Linked DNA regions of Struthio camelus. The protein of the gene in region 1 purifies or fractionates together with the protein of each later gene. This does not show direct contact. Links are inferred from orthologs where the notes say so. Each region holds a gene or a part of one and is shown on either strand. Other genes may lie near its edges.

Region 1 (10,390 bases):
GAAAGCAGAGTTTTCCATAGCATCTTGGAAGCAAAACAGCTGGCCACGTCCAGCAGTGAGGAAGTCCTCGCAGAATGTGGCACCATTGGGAACCCCCATGCTTTCCAGCAGCTCCTTGACCCGACAGGCAATGTCCACATCTTCACTAGCATGCAGGACAACAAAAGTGAAGAACTTTCTCTCTTCATCTGGCTCTGATGTGGATGCTGCTTCTGCATTTTGGACAGGAGGAGGGTAGGCTGGAGAGGAGGATGAATGGAAGGAAGAGGGATATGCTGAGTTGGGAGGAACTGCCTGAAGAGGAGGGGGAAGGGCTGGGGAGAAGGAAGGTGTATGAGGAGGAAGGGAACAGGCTGAAGTAGGAGATGTAGTATGGGAAGATGTACCTGCTGGAATATCCTCTGCAGACGTGTGGATGGGACCAGTGTGCGCTGTGGCTCTTGAATCAGGAAGACCTGTAGGTAAGTCCTCTTGCTTTTGGGCTGTGCCTTCTTTTGGTGCCTGAGGTTCTGCTGTCACTGTGCTGGAAACATCACTACTTTCGACAGGTTGGTTCACAGCACTCGGTGTAGGAAGCTGAATTTCAGGAATAGGGAGAAATGGATGACAAGAACTGGTCTGCAGAACCTCCATCTTTGGTCTGGGGACATGGGCGGTTGTGCCCTGCATGGGATGTGAATTGGTGCTGTTGGCCCAGCTTGTTTCCTGCAGGCCGTGGCTCTCGCTCTCCCTGGCAGGCTCTCCAGCACAGCTCATAGGCTCTGCACACAGCTGGCTCAGCTGGGGGACATGGTTACAGTGAGGAGGCTGGGTGTGAAAAACGGCTGTTGGCGATTCACTGATCTCAAAGTGACTGATGAAAGAAGCTGGGCTCCCCGAGGAGCGCAAGGTCCGTGGGCCTGAAAGGTCCGACACATTTCCGATCTGCACTGGGGAACTTCGTGCCACACGGTTTGGGCTGGCAGTCTGGAGAAATCCCGGGTCCGATCTCATCATCTGGAACCTGCCACCTGAACCCATAAAGCTGATAGCAGCACCACATTTTTCCTGAGCCTCAGCCAGGATGCTCTTCAGTGGTTCCCGCTGAGGGTTCCCGCTAGTGTCACAGGCCTTGATGGCAGTCTGGTAGGCTCTGACCATAGCTTCCCGACTGCACAGTTTTTCGTCTACCAGCAGCGAGTAGATCTGTGCCAGAAGCGCTATGGCATCTGCATCCAGCTGGGGGGGCTGCAAATCCTCACCGTCTTCCTGTACTCTCGCAGTGCCCAGTCTGGTCCTGTGGATATATAGGGCTGCCTGGTCGTTCCTCAAAGTATCCAGACAAATTCTTGCATCTGCTTCTTGCCCCAAAGTAAGCAGGACCATGGCTTGCAATAATTTGCTGCTGGGCTTAGATATCAAGTGCTTCAGTTTATGTTTGAGGTTAAGGAGTTTATCTCCTGGGATCTGGGAGAGAATATTAAAAATGTCTTCAAAGCTTGGCTGGACCTCAGCACTCTGTGCCATCTCATCAGCTGCTTCTCCAGACAATGCGCTGAAGAAGCATGGATGGAAAAAGCATATTACAGTCTCTAGAGCAAAGGTTTGTTTCCTTATGGTGCTCTCTGAAGCCCTGGTCGTACGTACTTTTAAGTACTGCACAAGGAATAGGTCCTTGTTGCTCACGGGCTCATCTCAGAGTCAGGGACAGTCTCTGCCTTGAAGAACTGGCCAGATGAACCTGTGAGTAGAAAAAAGGGCAGTGTTCAGAAATAGTGAGGCAGGGAGCTTGGGAGACTCCTCGAAAGGTTTGTAGATAAATATTTTTGCATCTACTTGGTACTTGCATATCCCGAGGCTTGTCTGAAACGTGCTCCACACATTATCCCAAGTCTATTATTAGGCAAACAGCAAGTCCTTCACGTTCGTTATATGTCAACTAAACTGTTTTAAAATAATTGCTAAACTAATACTATATTTAGGTAAATCCAAGTGTCCAGCTGGTTCATATCAACAGTCCATCTCCACCAGTGGCCTCTGTTGGGCAGGGGCTGATTGCAGGGGCCTCACAGCATCCTTGTAATGAGCAGTTAAGGAATAAAGCCCCGCTTAGAGGAAGCCTCCTGCCGATTACAGGCTCCGCGTCTTTTCAAATCGCTCGTACCCTGCCAGGAAGGTTTGTATTCCTTTCGCGTCCACTTTCAAGCTGTCTAATGTAATTGTGGACATACGCGTTATGGTCATATGCATCTAATCCCTGAACCCAGCTAAGCCTTTGCACTCACCAAAGCCAGCTGAACGGAGTTAAATTAGCCAGCAGCACTTGTCCGTAGAGCGAGGGAGGTCTGGGCCTCCGGCAGGTCTGTGGCAGGCAGGCGAGAAGTTGCTGAAGATGCACTGGCAGCGACTGATCCGTTTGAAAAAATCTTTCTCTATTTAAAGGAAAGCCAGAAAAAAATGTGTTTAAAAATAGCTCTCAACAACCAAACTTCTGGGGAAAGTTTGTAATTTCAAATTGTTTTTCTATCTCATAAAAATCCTCTAATTGCTTAATGAATGAGCTCAAGCTGAGCCTGAGGAAGTTGTTGTCTTTCTATGAAAACTTCTGATTCAGTGAAACATCTAAGGAAGGAAAGGAAGGGAAAAAAAAAAAAGAAAAAAGGAAGTCCAGGCATTCAAAAACAGTAGAGGAGACCTTTGACACTTATTTATGTTCTACCCCTCTGTGAGTCAGCAAAACCTCCCACTACTCCCCTAACTCTCTGCTCCCTCTCGCTGGGCATCTTGCTCCAGAGCCTGCAGCTTTGAGCTTGCTCTCTTGCACGACGAGCTCTTAAAAACCGGTGGGGAGCCGAGCAGGGCCCCGAGGCCGATCTCTCCCCCCTTCTGCCCTCCGACCCTCAGTAACGCTTCCACCTTCGCCCCCTCCGCTCTTCTGTGCCGCCTGCTCTTGCAGCCCTCCTCCCCGAGGCGCGAGCCGGGGCCAGCGCTGCGAAGGGACCAGCCTACCTCCGGCAGGGCCCGGCCGCCGCCGCGGCGATCCGAGCGGCTCGGCGGAGGCCGCGGGAGCTGCCCCGGCTCCCCCGGCGCGGGGCGGGGGGGGGGGGGGGGGGGGGATGCGGCGGCGGCGCCCGGGCAGCGTTTCCCAGGCGGGCCGGGGGCAGGTGGAAACGCGGCGCTCTCGGTTTCGCCGGGGCCGCGGGGAGCCGCCTGCTCCCCGACGGGCCCTGATGTCACACGAGGAAGCGGCGGCGCCCGGGAGCGCCGGGGCGGAGCGGTGGAGCGGGGCAGGGGCAGCCCGGAGCGGCGGGAAGCAGCGGGGGCGCCGGGGGGCAGGGGCAGCCCGGTGGCACCGGGGCGGAGCGGGGCAGGGGCAGCCCGGTGCGGAGCGGGACTCCCCCGGCCGGCCCGGAGGCAGCACTCGGTACCCGAGGCAGGTGGGTCTCGGCGCGGCTGAGCGGAAGGAGCCCCCCCGCCCCACCATGAGGTCGGTTATTAGCGGCCCGGGGCGCTAGCCCGGCCCTCTGCCGGTACTTACCCTCCTCTGAAGGTAGCACCGAGCAGCTGAGAGCAGACCCTGAACACGAACCTTTTTTGTCTAGCGAAAGTTTTGGTTTTGTTTCCTCAAAGCATGGGGGTTTGGCAGCAGTAGGAGGACAGAAAGATGGTTAAGGCAAGTCGGGTGGAGGTTGGAGCTGGAGACTGATGCAAGTAGGGCTGATGCTGGGAGTGGGGTGGGCAGAGCTGAAGCCCAGGGGTACAGGCAGAAGCTTCCAGGAGGCAGGACAGTCGAAATACTTTTCTACTAAAGACTGAGGCAGAGCTTGGGTCCAGCTCAGAGTGTTTAGTTCTAGCAAAGGGGAGAAAAGCCAGAGGGGAAAAGAGCAATTAGGAGATGAACTGCCTAGAAAAGTAATTCTTTAAAATGCTTCCTACAGGCTCAGGTTAAGGGGAGAAGATGATGCTATTGCTTGCTCATCAGAGCTGCTGCAGCCTTAGATACATGAGAGAAAGATATTCATGTGAAAACAGTCCAAATTTTATTTTGAAATCTGTTTGCCTTTTTCCATTTCTCCAGCATTAGCACTATTCACATACCAGGACATGGGCTACCTAAATAAGTTAGGCTAAGAATAATTACAAAAACATTATTTAGTGGGAAGAAAACAGGACCCATCACCCCTATTTTAATGACAAGATATCCCATAACCATGGTAGAGAACTCCTGGGAAAAGCTGCCTCATAAACCAGCTTCTTAATGGCTGCAAAACGTTTCATGCATGGAGTTACTTAAACACAAACAGACGGTCCTTAAAGTCACTTACATGGATTAAGAAAGTAATCTCACTGAAAGTTGGCATGCTCAAAAGAAAAATCCCACCTTGTAAGTGTTTCTCTGAAGGAAAAGTGTTTGGCTGCTCTGTAAAGAGAGGTCTCCTTTGGGAAGGACCCTCTTGCCCCCAGCTGTTCCTGGTCTGCTGCATGTCTCAGCCTCACAGGAAGTGGCACAGTCAGGAAGGAAGTAGTGTCTGTAATGCTGAGTTCTAAACTTGTAGCAGGAGGGAACAGTATCAAAGAGGCCAAGTGCATCATCCTCTTAAGATGCAGCTTGGATTAATTAAAAAAAAGCTCCAACATTAAAAATAAGTTTCAAGACCATTTCTTCTCTCCTACAACTCCTCTCAGCAAGAACTAGCCATTCACAGCTGTGCTGACTTATTTAAAAAGCCAAAATACAGGTCCCCATCTTCCCTTTCAATGCAGCATGCTTTAGTAAAAGGTATGCAACCTTTATGCCAGAATCAGCCCACCTTGGTTATCAAGTCACCTTGCAAACTACATCTTCTGTAAGCTCAGCTACATACCTCCAAAGCCTGGGATAGTGTCAGAGCAGGAGGCATTCCTGTAAGATTGGCAGCTGGGCACATGATTAAAAGAAGTTCTAGCCAAGGGGTTTGGGTTAGAAGAACCGGGATTTTTCAGAGCTCCTCCTCTGGTGCATTAGTTACTATCTCCTCTGCAGGTTTTGTCACCTCTCCTGTGCATTTCTCTACCTTCTCCTCCAACCTGTCTAGCACTTTAGACCCTTCCCCCAGGATCCTGTTTGCCCCCTTTGATTCCTTGGGGGCTTCAGCTACCTCCTTTGGTGACATACCCTTTTCCAAAGCAGGTGATTTCATATCAGTCATCATACTGCATTTCTTCTCCTTTCTGCTGTCTTGTGATACTTTGGCTGATGCCCTGAAAGGGCCCACAAGCCAGTTTAGAGGGGCGTTGAGAGTTACATATTCTAGCAAGTCATCTAGGGATCTTTGGGCTTCCCTCACACAGTCCTGGCTCTGGGTCAAGGTGCTGCCAGAGAGGTCCTGGAAGGACTTAGCACTGGAAAAAGAAGTGTGGAGCTTCTGGATGCTTTGAGTGGCTTGATGTACAGTTTCTTGGATGTTGCTGGGGAGGCCTTGAATGCTGGCTTTCAGATTCTCATATGCAGGTTGTAGCTGCTGGGTGATGATATGCAGCATAGCTAGGGTCCGTGACTCTACCTGCTAGGAAAGAATACAGCTCAGTTACTGTAGCAGATGAGATGCCCGCTATCCACAAAAGGTCTGATTACACCCTTCTAGGGATACCTCTGGTTGGGAGGCAGTTTTAATTTGGTGTCCCTTGGGTTGGGTCAGGCTCCAGTCTAGCCATAGCTGATGGAGCTTCTCCTGCCCGTCCAGAAGCTTCTGGCCAACCTCGTCTTTCACACGCTCTATCTGATGGAAAGAGATGAGGAACAGTTACATTGCAAGCACATACAAAGCAGCACAAGCGCTCCTGTCTGCTAAGCACTGGAGTCATGTTATAAAGAAGCAGCTTCCAGAATCACATTCTGCAGTGTTACCTGTCAGGGAGGGACTCAAAGGGACATGCAGCAGAAAACATACCTTAGGTGCAGAATGGAGGAAGCACCTCCATCTGGGTGCTAGCAGGGGGAAAGAAGACTCTGCGGAGTGGGATAGAAAAGAAAAAGGGTGTTTGTACCAGGTTTATTGCTAGTTGCAGCTGGGAGAGAGTATCCCGCGTGCTTTGCTTAACACGCTGCAGTTTGTTCAGGGAGTGCCGGTAGGCTCGGAGGCGGACTTTGTTAGAGAGGGAGCCCAGACGCACAAAGTAACTCCGCTGCTGTTTCTGCTCCTCCACAGAGGCCATATCAAATCCCTCAACAGCAGTGGCAAGTTGACCTAGAGGGTACAGAGATCCAGCTGTCAACAGATGTCTCTTCTCTACCCTGTGCCCCATCCCCTTTGGCCCTGGAGCCATCAGGGCAAAGCCCAGCTGCCTCTACCCTCACTCCTTTGTCTCCATGCTCTGCTCTCCCAGCTGTGAGGGGGAAAAGGTAAGATTTGCCCATTGTGAAACATGGGAGGAAGCTAAATCTCGCTGTATAAGTGGTAGGGGTTGGCAGTTGTTCAGAGATTACAACTAGGCCAGTCCCAGCTTGAAGGGCTCTCTTCAGATAAGCAGACTTGACAAATAGGTTGAAGCATGTACCCAGTTGTTGTTTGCCTTGAGGCTGATAGGCAAACCAAGGAGTAGCTAGCACGTGCTTGAACTCTGTCCTATACCACGTAGCACGTCAGTGGTGACAGAAAGCCAACTGGGTGATATTCAGAGCTACCTATCTGCTTCAAAAGATGACTCCTGCAGTGTCAGGTGCTCTCTAATCATGTGGAAAGTGATTTGCAGTTACAGCTACCAGCTAAGCATTTTCTTACCCAGCTCCTCCTCTGTCATGGGGAGGTAGTGATCCACCAGATCTTCTGATATATCCAGGACAGATTCCACACCACCTGCCACTGCTTGGCCCATTGCCTTGGCTTTACTTATGCTGTTGGTCACCATGAAATTAGTGAGCTCCACCCCCTCCTGGATAGCCTCTCTGCTGTGCTCCAGGGCTGTATTCATTTTGCTAGTTATGGTGCCATATGCAGCATCCAGAGCTGTATTGACTGTAGAAGTGACCATTGATTTAGTCTTCTCAACACCATCCTGAACAGCCTCTTTGGTTAGGTCTACTGCTTCAGTCACTTTGTTGGTTACGAGATCCTTTGCACCCTGGGCAGCCCCTACAGCCGCAGTAACAGTAGAAGCGACTGCGGCCTTTGTTAGTCCAACGCTGTCCTCCACAATGTTTTTAGTGAGGTCCACTGCTTCAGTCACCTTGTTAGTCACAAGATCCTTCGCACCCTGAGCGGCCTCCACAGCACTGACGATAGTAGAAGCAGCTGCTGACCTGGTCAGTCCAATGCTGTCCTCCACAATGTGTTTACTGAGGTCCACTGCCTCAGTCACCCTGTTAGTCACGAGCTCCTTTGCACCCTGAGCAGCCTCCATAGCACTGGTGACAGTGGAGGTGACCATTGACCTGGTCAGTTTAACACTGTCCCCAACAACATTTTTAGTGAGGTCCACCGCTTCAGTCACTTTATCAGCCATTGCTTCTTTTGCCTCACAGGCAGCATCCATAGCAGATGTCACTTTGGCAGAAACCAGCTGCTTGGTGTCTGAGATGACCTACAACAAGGTGAGGCAGAGAAAGATGATGCATTTTTCCAGAATAGGTTTCCCTCCCTCAGGGAGCTTTTCACATGGCTATGCTGTGCCTGCACTCTTGTGGGAAAGGTGAGGAAATCAGTACATCTGTATTCACATGGAAATCTATTTCCACACGCTGAAGGCAGAGCCTCGGCTTTCATCAGCTAGCAATGCCTTCTCTAGCTCAGGCAGCTGTAGCCCATATCCAGGAACTGACCTGACAAAGCAGCACTGCCCAAGTTAGTTTCCCCATATACTTCTGTACCCATAACAGTTATATCAAGCAAGAAGAGTGAGCCATGGCTTCCCTGGAAAAAGCCTTTGCTTTACCTTATCTGCTGGCTGTTGAAGAAAAGGCAAGTTCTCCTCCAGCTGATCCAGTCCCTTGCAGGCATATTCATTTACAAGTGCAACTAGACAGAAGGACAGGTACCAGGTTAGTCCCTCTACTCGAGTTTGGAGGCTTTTTTGATCCTACAATGGCCAATCCAGGATGAGCTCATGAGAGCAAATAAAGTAGATCATTGTTTGGGGTACGGGTGGTGGTCAGGGTCTCGCTAAATAGTCTCTTCGTTTTGCCTTCCCAGCCTTCTAGCAATTGAGAGCACATCGCTCCAGCCAGAGCGTGGTACTTGTTTCCAGTGGATAGGGAAGCGGATTAATGGCTTTTTACTGTCTTGGGATGAGACAAACTGAGCAAAAGGCAGAATAAACACTGATACTACCTGATGGGATATTCACAACTTGAAGCGATAGAGGCAGAGCAGGGAGCTTTTGCCTCTCCACTTAAAGAAGCCACAGATGAGGTCAAACTTGGCTTCTGCTAGTGACAATCCCTTATCCATCAAATTCAGTGGGCCTATGGAGTGGCTGGGAGCAGTGGAGGAGTCAGCAATACTACAAGTGTTGTAGGATGTGCTGTAGGAGATGTTACCCAGAAGGGGCATCACTTGCACCTTAACGAAGCAGGGGTATCATCTAAGCTCATGGTGGTTATCTAGGCTTTGTCACATAAGCCAAAATAATGTGGGAATGACTTTGCAAGAGACATGGTTTTAAGAGGAGACTTCTAATGTCATTTAGAGGTAGTTTACTTGTTGAAGACTACATATGGCTAAGAGAAAAAAGTTGATTTTTTTCCTCTTCCTTCTTTCATGAGGAGTGAGAAGTTTACCTCATGGCATAGGACTGGTACCTGATCCTGTTACTCAGGGTGTTTGCTGAGCCTGGTCTATGTCACCAGGGCCTCAGAGGGCCTGTGAGGCTCCCTTCCCACCTATCCCCTCTGTGGGGAGAGGGGGGCGTCTCCAGCCTCTTCACTTACTTTGCGGCTCAAGTTGGTTCAGAATGGGCTGTGCACCACCAACCACGCTGCCGACTGCGACAGCGGCCACAGTCTCGGCCACATTGCAGGCACTGTGGAGGCAAGGGTGCGTCTCCTTGGTGTAGTTGTAGGCAGATGAGACCAGGTTGAATGCAGAGTTCAGCAAGGGCAGGTTGGTCACCCTGCTAACAGCACTCTAAAAGAGAGAAATAAGTGATATTAGACACTCTGCCTCAAGTTGGTGAGCGAATGCAAACCATGTATAGATCCAGAAAGGTCCTAAGTGCTATCAAGTCCATCTCCTCATCGAGCTCACAGTTGAAGGGTCTTGTCTTAAAACCATTAGCAATCAGTGGCAAGCCAGAATTAGAAGCTGGAGCTCTGTCACATCTGAGTCATACAAGGCTTTAGTACCATCAAGCCCAGATTTGGAAATAGGACCTATACCAGCCAATGTTTCAGAATTATGTGCATTGCTTGAGCCAGCCCTGGAGTTCTCTTTCTTGAGCAAGAAAAGTCAGCCTCTGCATTAACTAAAGGTTTAGATTTAGTCATGGCTTCATATGGTTAATCTTTCCCCTGCTCCCAGCCTGGATTTGAGATGGTGACAGAAGTTAGTTTACCACTGTATCCGTTAGCAGGTAGTTTAACAGCTGCATGTTGGAGTACCAGCTGTCTTGGCACCTACCGCTTGCTGCTGTTCCTTAGCTTTTAGCGGATCATTTTTTGTGGTCTTTTCAGATGCCATAGTCAAGTCAGCTGCAGCTGGAAAGGAAAAAATAGGGTAACAGCAATAGTACAACTTAAGTTTCCACCAGTGAATTAAAATCTAGCAACAGTGGTGAGAAGCAGAGGGTGATGCATTTGGGATCAGTCATGGCCTAGGAGCTTCAGGGAATCACTAGTCTTTCTTGCAAAAGAGCGTGAAGATATTTGAGAGGCTTCATGATTTACATGGTCAAACACACTTGCACTAGGGACTGTACTCAGTCACCTCCCTCCGCCCCGGCAGCCAAGTGTTCTTAACAAGAAGGGGCCATCCTACTTATTTTATTGCTGGTAACATTTGACTGATTTCAAAATCACAGGCCTGAAAAAAAAAAACAAACAACAGTTCTCACCCACTTATCTCAGTGGTGTATTTCCTCTACAAGAGGGACTTCAGCTTCTCACTGCAAAGAGTCTTTACTGCCCCAGGACTGGAACGCTTGGATGAAAACTGCACGCTGCAGAAGTGGTGCTAATGGCGTGGATCACTGCATATTTGTCTCACTGATCATGACAGATTGCTACTGTCTTTCTGACAAGCCTTGCTAATAGTGGCTGTTGCAAGACAGGAAATGCAACTGCCATAAGATGAGCAGGGAAGTCTTTCAGTTTTAATTTTAGAAACCTGGTAAGCTCAAACAGTTCAGTGACAATGGATTCTAAAATTAGAAACAGTATTTACTTTTTGAAAGAAGCTCACTGAATTTGCTTAAAACCTTTGTAGGGAGAAAAGCCCTC
Region 2 (9,508 bases), on another chromosome or scaffold:
ACTCAAAGCTACACCACTTGCTCTCCAGAAAGTCAGTAGAAATGACTGCAATGACATTTCTGCTGCTCAAGAAACCTTCTTGGATGATATTAGTGACAATGGGTACCCCTGGTAAGAAATCCCTGTAGTAAAGACAAAGCTGGAAGGGAGGTTTTCCTCCTTCTAAGGGCTCCACCAGCTCTTTTATCACCCATTCTTGGTCTTTGCTGGAGTGGATAACAAATGCATCATAGGTGTCCCCCCTTTCAGCAGAGTGCTTACACCCACTGAGCAGCACCAATGAGTAGTATAGCTGGAAGTAGTACTTGTAAATTAGAAATAGGGACACAGCTGCAGCGAGTGACATACTCACTGAGAATGCCACTGTGCTTGTTTTGAGCTGGCAGGAGGACAGATCGAAGCTAGATAGACTCACGTTCTTTACATATGCGGGGACGTGGCACATCATCAGCTCCTTATTCTGAAGTATCTCCTGATTTTCCTTGACCCATTTCAGAAAGTTCAGGTATGTGCAAGAGCAATCGAACAGGTTGTGAGAGAGGTCTAACAAGACCAGACTATCAGGCAAGCTTTCCAGGGCCGAGTCCAACAGGACAGTCAGCTGGTTGTGGCTGAAATCCAGGACTGCGAGGGCTTGGAGAGGCTTGTAGACTAAAGGATCAAAGCTCAGCAGCTTATTGTTGCTGATGTTTAGCTCTTTTAGTTCAGAGAGAGCGGCAAATGTACTCTGATCCACCTGTACCAATTTGCAACTTGAAATATCCAAGGTGTGGAGGTGAGTTAGGTTTTTTAAGTTGTTGGCCAGTTTGTTGTTCTCAAAGGAGTTGCCTGCCATCTTAAGCACTTGCAAGGAGTGCAAGCCACAAAATGTGCACTGGGATTTAACATGAGTTCTGGTATAGGAAATATCAAGGTAAATGAGTTTCTGAAGGGAGAGAAAGACAGGGTAGGAGCCAGGACCAATTAACTTTGTGTGCTGAAAGTCCAAGGTTAACAAATTCCTCATATTAGTAAAGTCTCCAGTGACGCTGATGTCAGAATTGAAGCTTAGGTTCAAATATTTCAAATGTGGAGACCCAAGAAAAAGAGGAGAACAGCATTTGGTGAAGGAGAGCCGATTCTCACTCAAATCCATTACTTCCAGGTTAGTTAGATGCTCAAACTTCTGCCGGAAGCTATTGAGGTATTTGCTCTTGGTAATACGAAGCACTCTAAGCTCCTTAAAAAGAGACAGCTTCATGGCAGGCACTTCCTTAAACTTGCATTTCTTGCATTCCAGGTGCTTCACTTGGGAGAACATAGGAACCTTTGACACATCATCTAGTTGGAGGTCCACCAACCGAATACTGGAGACATTGCCTATGCAGTCAAAAAGAGTGTCTGTGTTATTCTCAAAATCCCTAAAACAGATCAAGATGAACTCCTGCATCTGTACCTGGCACAGTCCACTCAAGAGTCCACTCTGAAAGTTCCTCAGTCTCTGAATGTCACTGAATTCTCCAACTATTAATCTGTTGACATGTAAACCAGTCAGACCTTGAAGGGAAGTATGCATCACATTGAAGTTCTCAAAAGAGGACCTTAAAGCCAGCTCACCAAGGTGAAGATTTGCAAAGGACCCTGGCTGGATGTATTTTATATCATTCAAAGAAAGTACCAGTGTGAGGTTGAACCTGTTTGCTTCCCTCAGGGCATCAAGGTCTCCTCTGGATATATACGTGATCTTGTTGGAGAGCAAGCTCAGGTGCCTGAGAGAGGTCAGATTGGCAAAATATTTGGGAAGCTTCAATGAAGCAATGTTATTGTGGCCCATATTCAGCTCCTGCAGGGTATGCAAGTGTCCAATGGGCAGGTCAGTCAGAGAAGATATGTTGTTTTCCACCAATACAAGTCTTTGCAGAGATGTTAAGCCATAGAAAGCTGCTGGCCCCAGGTAGTTGAAGTAATTGGCAGTTAGAATTAAGGTGGAAAGGTTATAAAGATCCTTAAAAGAATTATTTTCAATTGTATGGATGTGGCATCTGTTGGGCAGGAAAAGAGAATAAATGTGCATGAAACATTCTCCTTTTCAATATATATTCACAGACACTATTGCTCTAAGCACTAAAGCAGTGCTCTCAGAATCCACCTCACTGTGGAGGTACATCTGGTTCCAGTGCTCTGGGCAGAGCAGAGCCAGTCCTCCTGAACCCAGCACCTCCCTCGCAAGACTGAATCTACAGGTGAACATTGTGATTTCCCAGGAGAAGGCAGAATTAACCAGCCAAAAAAAAGGTATCCTTGCATATCAGGAAACCTCCTCTCACCTCCTCCTCCCTCCCTAAATCTGGAGTTCAATTGCAAAGCAAGAAATCTTGAGCCATGGTGAAGGTCAAGATGCACATAGGCAGAAGGACAGAAGTGAAAATAGGTGAAAGTCATACTGTGATGCCTATCATTGGTGGCAGAGCCAACCAAATACACCATTCCCTTACACCTTGCATACTTGCAGCCTTTAGACTGTCACTTCAGCCACATCTAGGCCATCACCCTGGCACCAGTGTGCTGCGGCAGTGGCAAAGCTCACAACTCATTCTACAGTTTTACTGTTGATATCTAAGCAGGGACAGTCCTCAGGCCATGTTGGCTGTAAAGGAGAACAGGAGGAGGAAAAAAACAAAGGGGGCCACCTAAAGATTATTTTATACGGGAAAAGCCAAATTTTAAGAGCCAAATGTATTCTGGAATGAATGCAAGCAAAATTAGCTTTACAGCCCAGCCAGTGCCTTACAGTAAACCTGTTCTGCCACTCAGCCACTTCACAGCTGTAACTGTGATGGGGCTGAGTGACATTTTTCAGTGAAGTGGTTTACCCAGAGAAAATCTTGTCTCAAGTTAATTATACATCTATTCAAATTTGCTAATAAGCTTCCCTCGTCTCCTCCCCCAGATATGGGAAGAGAAGACAAAAAGAAAATGTTGATATTTTAAAACAACCTTTTAGAAAATGAATATACCTAGGTTTGTTGTTTTGTTTGTTCTTTTTTTTTTTTTAACTGAGAAAAGAAGAACAGCCCACCTAAAATGTTCCATTTCAGAATTTTTGTAACAGTGAAAAGTCTGACATTTTTCTTGTTTGGAGAGAAGTAAAAGATCCTCCTCCTCCTTCTTCCACCCCATCCCACAGGGGCAGGCTGATAGGCCAAGCTCTGAGCAGAATGCCTGCACCCAATACCTGGACTAAAAGCTGCACATCACTTGGCCATGGGCCTGTGCAGAGAGAGACACACAGAGGCGAAGTCAATAGCAAGAGAATGAACAGCAAAGAGCAGCAAAAACCCAGGATAAGCAACCCCTAAGGCCCAACTGGTGAAACAAGATTAACCTGTATCGATGCGAAAGGGCCCCTTACCTTGTAAGATCCAGAAGCTGAAGTTCAGGGACTGACAAAAAATAGTTTGAGCTCAGTGATTTCAGGTGGCTGAAACTGAGATCCAGGTTCTGAGTGGTATTTGGGACTTGAGTGGGAATTCCAGAGATATTCAGTCCCGTGCATCTGAAAGTTATATTAGGTATGACCTGTAACAGTGACAGATCTGATCACAATCAATACCTGCACTTTACAAACGGTCAGGAAATTGGTCAGGAAAGCAGGGAACAGAATGAGTAACCTTGTAGTTCTTTTCTAAATAAGCTGCCCTTGAGCTTCAGGAAATAATTTCAGGTATCCTAAGCATCTCCCCTACTTTAATAGTACCAGTCTTATTCCCCAGGAAAAGCTACAGTTCTTGCTGATTGAGGCAGGTGCAAAACCACAGGACTATGTTCCTCGAGGCTATGGATGAACTGACAGCAACCTTCAAGAGAGCCAGAAAAACAAACACACAGGATGCCTGGCGTGTCCCAGATCAGCTCTCAGCTTTATTACATCGCAGACAAGCGGATAGTTCTAACAGAAATTGTTCTGTAAGTAATGGGTATCTGCAAAAGTTTGCAAAAGGCTGTTGATCACTGCCAAGTTCTTGGGGTACTGGTGAAACCGCTCTGCAGTACAGATCAGGCTAAAATACTGTACTTTGCAGAAATAATAGATACGTTTTTGATTTCTTCCTGAAGGGCAACATAATCCACTAGCTTAGCTGTACTGTAGTAACTTCAGAGGTACAGAAAGCCAACAAGAAGAAATGGTTCATGCTACTGGTTCTGGTTCTCAGATGTTTTTGAGACCAACATTCACTTCAAATATCAATTGCCTTGGTAACATCCTTGGTAAAAACATGAGCTTTCATAAGACGACTAACCCTACAGATCTGATGCACAAATCTCCCAAGCAGACGGAAAAGTTACTGCAGTGAAACAGAAGGATTTTGTACTCTTTTAGAGATCACATACCTCCAAACAGGGATCAAGGAGGCAGCCTGCCAGCTGTGATGGAACAAATATCAGTCCCAGCAGCACCACGAGTGTCCACAGGGGAAAAACCCCTCTCCTGGGCATCTTCAGGAGGCCAGGCATTCAGGAGAAAGGACCATGGGTATAACTTAAAGACTTGGAGCAAGAAATCTCCTGAAATGCTGAGTGTTTCACCACTCCTGCTTCTCACTGCTCGTCACTGAGAGTTGCACAGAACCACGAAGGAAGTGAAACTGGTAGCTGCCTGGTTTCTAGGCATGCTCTGAGTAAATCTTTCTTCTTGCAGCTACGTGTTTAAAAAATTAGAACAAAAAAAAAAAAAAAAAGGAAGTAATGAAAGGTAGAGTTTGGACTAGAAATTAAAGAGGAATATGAGTTGTGTCAGTGTGTCACTTGACTTGATTGCCTCAGATTAGCTCAGGGCAAACTGGCTAAATACAGAAACTTCTGTGAAATTCTGAGTCCAAATTCAGGAAGGTCATTTTTCACATCCCATAATTTGAATGCACTGTTAGAGTGAATGACTTTCTGCATTAGTCCCCCTGCCATGCTCCCAGATATACCACACTGTCAAGGAGTGGGGTAGCACTTAGGATGAGCAGATGTTTTCTTGAGCCAGGTAATAACAGCGTTATTTGCGGCCGAGCTCTTACGTACGTGCATTTAGGATTTATCCATCTGGCTGTGCCTCAGCCTTGCAATTATTCCCGTAACAAGCACAAAGCTGCACGTGGCAGGGCACAAGTGGCAAAGAAGGGCAGGAGATTCATGGATCAGAGCCACAGGTGCTGGCTCAGCCTGCATGGCAGTGAAAAACCTGCATCAGCTGTGAGCACAGGGCATTGTGCCTCTCTGTGTCCTGCCCTTGGTCGGGAGCTGTTGGGAAGAGTGTACTGGGAGAGGCATGAGCACACCAGCTGGGATTAGAGCTGCTGTGTGCCCTGACTTTGCCTGAATTGTGTTTAAAGCTTTGCTACATGAATTGCAGAGCACCGTCTCTGCACCTTCCTTAATACACAGTGTAGACACAGCAATTGTTTCTAGAAGAGGCTTTGTAAAACCCCAGAGTTGGTAATATCCCTTTAAACAGGCTGTGAGCCCTCTAACAAAGTTCCCTGCCTTTCTTCATCTTGATAAATGGTAGTACTTCCATCTTTCTGTAGATAACTAAGCAGTAGTTAACTAAGCAGTGTTACTGGAGATCCAAATGTTATTAACACATATAGATAGAAGACATGCAAAAATGGGAGATGAGGATGGGATACTAGTTGAGAATAAGATAGAATAGGGAATGACTACTTATGAAAGTCAGAAAATTGATATGATATAAAACATAAGCAATACCAGGCTTACGAAGAAAAGTTTAAAATATTTGGGGAAGAGTGGACTTCTGTAGTGGGTCAGTAGAGGGCCATTGAGGGATGGGGAAAACCTAAAATAACAGATGATCTCTGTGATGAAAAAAATGTGGCAGCACAATGGGAGCTAAAACCGACACCCTGATGTGCAGTCAGACAGCACCCATTAAACCAGCAGACAAAAAGTTTGTAAAACTTGTACAAATTCTGCAAAAACCCCTTTCTGAAAAGGCGCTAGTGATTGCAGGTATTTGCTTTTATAGATGGAATCAAAAGTGAAAGGAAACAATTGCTGACTGCTTCTGTGTCTGGATTAAGGAAATTGGCAGAGCATCGTGTCTGCAGAGAGGACAAATGAATGTGTCCTTTAGCATTCAATATGCAGAATAAAGCAATCCACATTTAATTTTTATCTAAAGCTGAGATGAGCCTGAAGTATGCACTAAAATTACCATTTGAAAGAAGACCCACTGAAGATGCTTGAGAGTTTGGGAGGATCACAAAATCCATCCAACTGCCATGCCTAGGGGTCAAGTGGAAAGTACAACTTGAAGGACATTCAAAGAATACGCTGCTTCTACTGTAGGGGATAGTTTCACAATGCACATCATCACTAGTTCGAGGACAAATCATATACAAACTACAAGGGGTGGAGCACAAGCATAAAGCATGCAACTAATGAATCAAACCCAGCCACCAGTTTAGAAAGTCAATGCCAGTAAACCTCATATTCTTCAGCTTGGATATAACAATGTGCAATGACTGGAGAGAGCCATAATGTCTCTATAATTGCCTCCTTCAGTTCAGAAGAAACAAAAGTATTGTGTGGAATTCTTTAAAGTGGCAAGAATAACATCTAAATTGACACATGATTCACTGTGCTGGCAATTTACTGGTGGGGTCATTAAAGATCTCTTAGAAAGGAGAGGTTACAGAAAATCTCAATGTTTCTAAAAACACCTGTCTGGGAAAGCTTTGCTCTCCTGAACAACGTTATAATATAAGTAACACAACAGCAAACAGTATGTACTCAACCTCTGTGATCTGAAGCAGAGTAGTCAGGCATTACCTGGCATAGGATGGCCATGATGTAGTCAGACTGACAAAGCATCTTGTGTTTTCGTATACAAAAAACAATAATCATGAAGTCTGGCTGAAAAATTTTTTTTGCAAAACTCTTGGACAATACAGCTGGTAATATCTTCCAGGCATTCATTAAGGAAATTTGAAAGTATTTGAACAGTATATGAATTCTTAACATCTGCAAAGTGACCCAGCAGCTTGCTAAGGAGGCAAAGGTAGCAAGAGGACCTCACCATCTCTAGGACTCTATAATATGAGGTTAGCTGGGGCAAACGGAGTTGTCCTGATATATCAGTGACATGAATAAATAGTTGTAACTATGGTGATTTCAAGGCCACAGCTAACCCGATATCACATGCAGATTAATTGCTATTGCTCAGACCTTCCAAAAGTCTCAGGCACGCAATCACACTACACCTGATAACCAAGTATTGCTCTCAGATGGGTTGCAGCACTGGCCTTGTGTGCCTTCCTAGATCGCACAATATCAGCTAACATAACTCAGCTTAACAGTCACATGTAGTGAATTAAGCCTAAACTGCCTTGTGTTGCAGCTAGAGTCTAGGCTCAGAACACGGAACCAGCTAGTGAGTGCTCAAGGTTTAGCTGATGCACAGTCACTTTTTATGCTCAGCAAGTCAGTCTCCTGCCCAAATTTCAAAGGCTGTCTGAGTGGATAGGAAAAAAAAAAAGAAAATGTCTCAAAAATTCAGCAGGATGTTGAATTTTCTCAGCCGTTCTGCTGGGAAAAACAATTTGTATAAATCACAAGGAAAAATGAAAAAAAATCAGAGATGCCTTCGAGATCCTTTTGCTTCAAAGGGTACCACAAGCACATTGCTTCCTGGGAACGGCTAGGTACCGCCTCATACAGCAGCTGCGTGGCATCCCCTGACTGGCCTGATAGACACTGATTAGAGATGGCCCTAATCCATACCGAGGCTGGCAAGGGAGCCGAGACACTAATATCATCAGGAAGGGTCCTTACTACAGTATCTTGGTGCCTATAACATTTGCTTGTGCTGCTTCCCCATATGAAACAGGTGTAGTAATTTCACACTTGATCAGCCTGAAAGACCTATTGCCTTCAGCTCAGGGTTTTGTGTGTCTGAAGAGCAGAACCATGTTCAGATTGAGAGAGAAACTCTGCAATTAGTTGGGGCGGGGGGCTTCATCACTAGACAGCTTCACCACTGCCTGTTTGAGCAATGCTTGACTCTAGTTACAGGTCATTAAACCACTAGTTTCAAAGCAAGGAGTGCCAGCAATGTAGATTGCTTGTCAAGCCTGTGATTGTAAGTGACAGGTAAGGACATGGAGGTGGAAGGAGAGAGAGTCTCTCTACATGCTATATGGCACAGAGCAAGTGACACCCATATAGAACCACCCAAAACAAAACATAGTCTGGCATAGCTAAAGTGTCTTTCATTGCAGTAAAGGACAGATATTGGTGTACACAGGGGAAAGAAACAAAATCAAAAGTTAATGTCCAAGTCAGTTTGATCAAAAACAGTCTACATCAGAGTAGGTAATGTGTGTCATCAGATGAGATATTCCCCAAAGCCAAGGTCACATGAATACCCCAGAACCATGCAGAATCTATTAGGGAAGAACTGTGTCAGGTAACTAGGGACAAATACACAACTAGAAGAAGTGATTAATCAGTGTCAAGATAGTCACTATCTGTGGCAGCTACTCCATATGGACTATGTCAGGTCAGTTTGGAGCCCTACATTTTACTGCAGTCGATGTTTAATCTAAACGGTTGGGAGGATTTCACACAGATGGTGGAAGCATCCAAACTTACTTGCCAAGTGTTCATGGATAGACAGTGAGTGAGAATGAATCTGCCTTCGCTCCTGGAGAGAGACTGGCTGGTACCAAAGACCCCCTGCAGTGCTGTGCCCTTCTGCCAAGGATTAATCACTGTTGCACCTCAGCTGTCCACTGAGCTGGGGATGCAGTGCTGCCATTGATGCAAGGATGTTCACAGTGCTGTGGCATGAATTGAACTGTGATCAGAAGGGGTATTACTGCCTTTTCGCAGCCCTGAGGAGGGTGGATTTATCAGCTCAGATCGATGCTAGCTTTTGCTACTCAAGCAACAATAGGACTCATTTTCCTTGTCTTTCACCCCTTTTACTTCCTTATTATGGTATCTCGTAGCCTAATTTACATATGTTTTGTATTAGTGTGGCTTTGCTTTATCCTACTTATTCCACCTTCTTTCCCCCAGTTCTCTTGATATTAATAATGAGTCTGCTGTAGGGCAAGGATTCATTCAGACTGTCAAACAAGAAATGTGTGTAGGACCTGCAGGACTGCAAATCACAGACTTTCAATGGACCTGCATGGCAGGACTCCTACTCATGCCACTGCAAACCAGACAACAAGACAGGTTACTTTTGGGATTCAGGGCCACCACTGAAGCATGGTTAAACACTAAGTCCCTACTTCATAACTCCTCCACTCTGGAAAAGGTTGGAACAAGAGGCATCTGTAATGAATTGTGGTCACTTAGAAACGTTACAGAACCCTGTTTTAAGGGAAAGCACATCAGCCAGTTCTCAAACATGAATTCAAAAAGTTGTGTAATGGACCTGCTTGCTGCAAGCACTGAGAGCATTGCCACAGGCAGTGACCAATGGTAAAACTCTTGAGCCTCATATTTATGG

Evidence for each region.
Region 2: the proteins of TICAM1 (region 1) and TLR4 purify together in Homo sapiens (affinity purification with western blotting; 3 studies listed by BioGRID). This does not show direct contact. The link is inferred for Struthio camelus from reciprocal best matches to the Homo sapiens genes TICAM1 and TLR4.

What each region holds. Positions count from the first base shown.
Region 1 is NC_090967.1:4,656,819-4,667,208, forward strand, and holds the start of TICAM1 (TIR domain-containing adapter molecule 1), read right to left. Parts: upstream 4,487-10,390; 5' UTR 4,361-4,486; exon of another isoform or gene 3,998-4,360; intron 3,830-3,997; 5' UTR 3,518-3,829; intron 3,417-3,517; exon of another isoform or gene 3,271-3,416; intron 3,073-3,270; exon of another isoform or gene 2,989-3,072; intron 2,412-2,988; 5' UTR 2,265-2,411; intron 1,721-2,264; 5' UTR 1,507-1,720; coding exon 1-1,506. Other genes in the region: perilipin-3, read right to left, coding at 4,959-5,525, 5,610-5,738, 6,007-6,206, 6,741-7,539, 7,891-7,973, 8,885-9,080, 9,573-9,649.
Region 2 is NC_090961.1:9,277,287-9,286,794, forward strand, and holds the start of TLR4 (toll-like receptor 4), read right to left. Parts: upstream 4,667-9,508; 5' UTR 4,495-4,666; coding exon 4,372-4,494; intron 3,559-4,371; coding exon 3,392-3,558; intron 2,022-3,391; coding exon 1-2,021.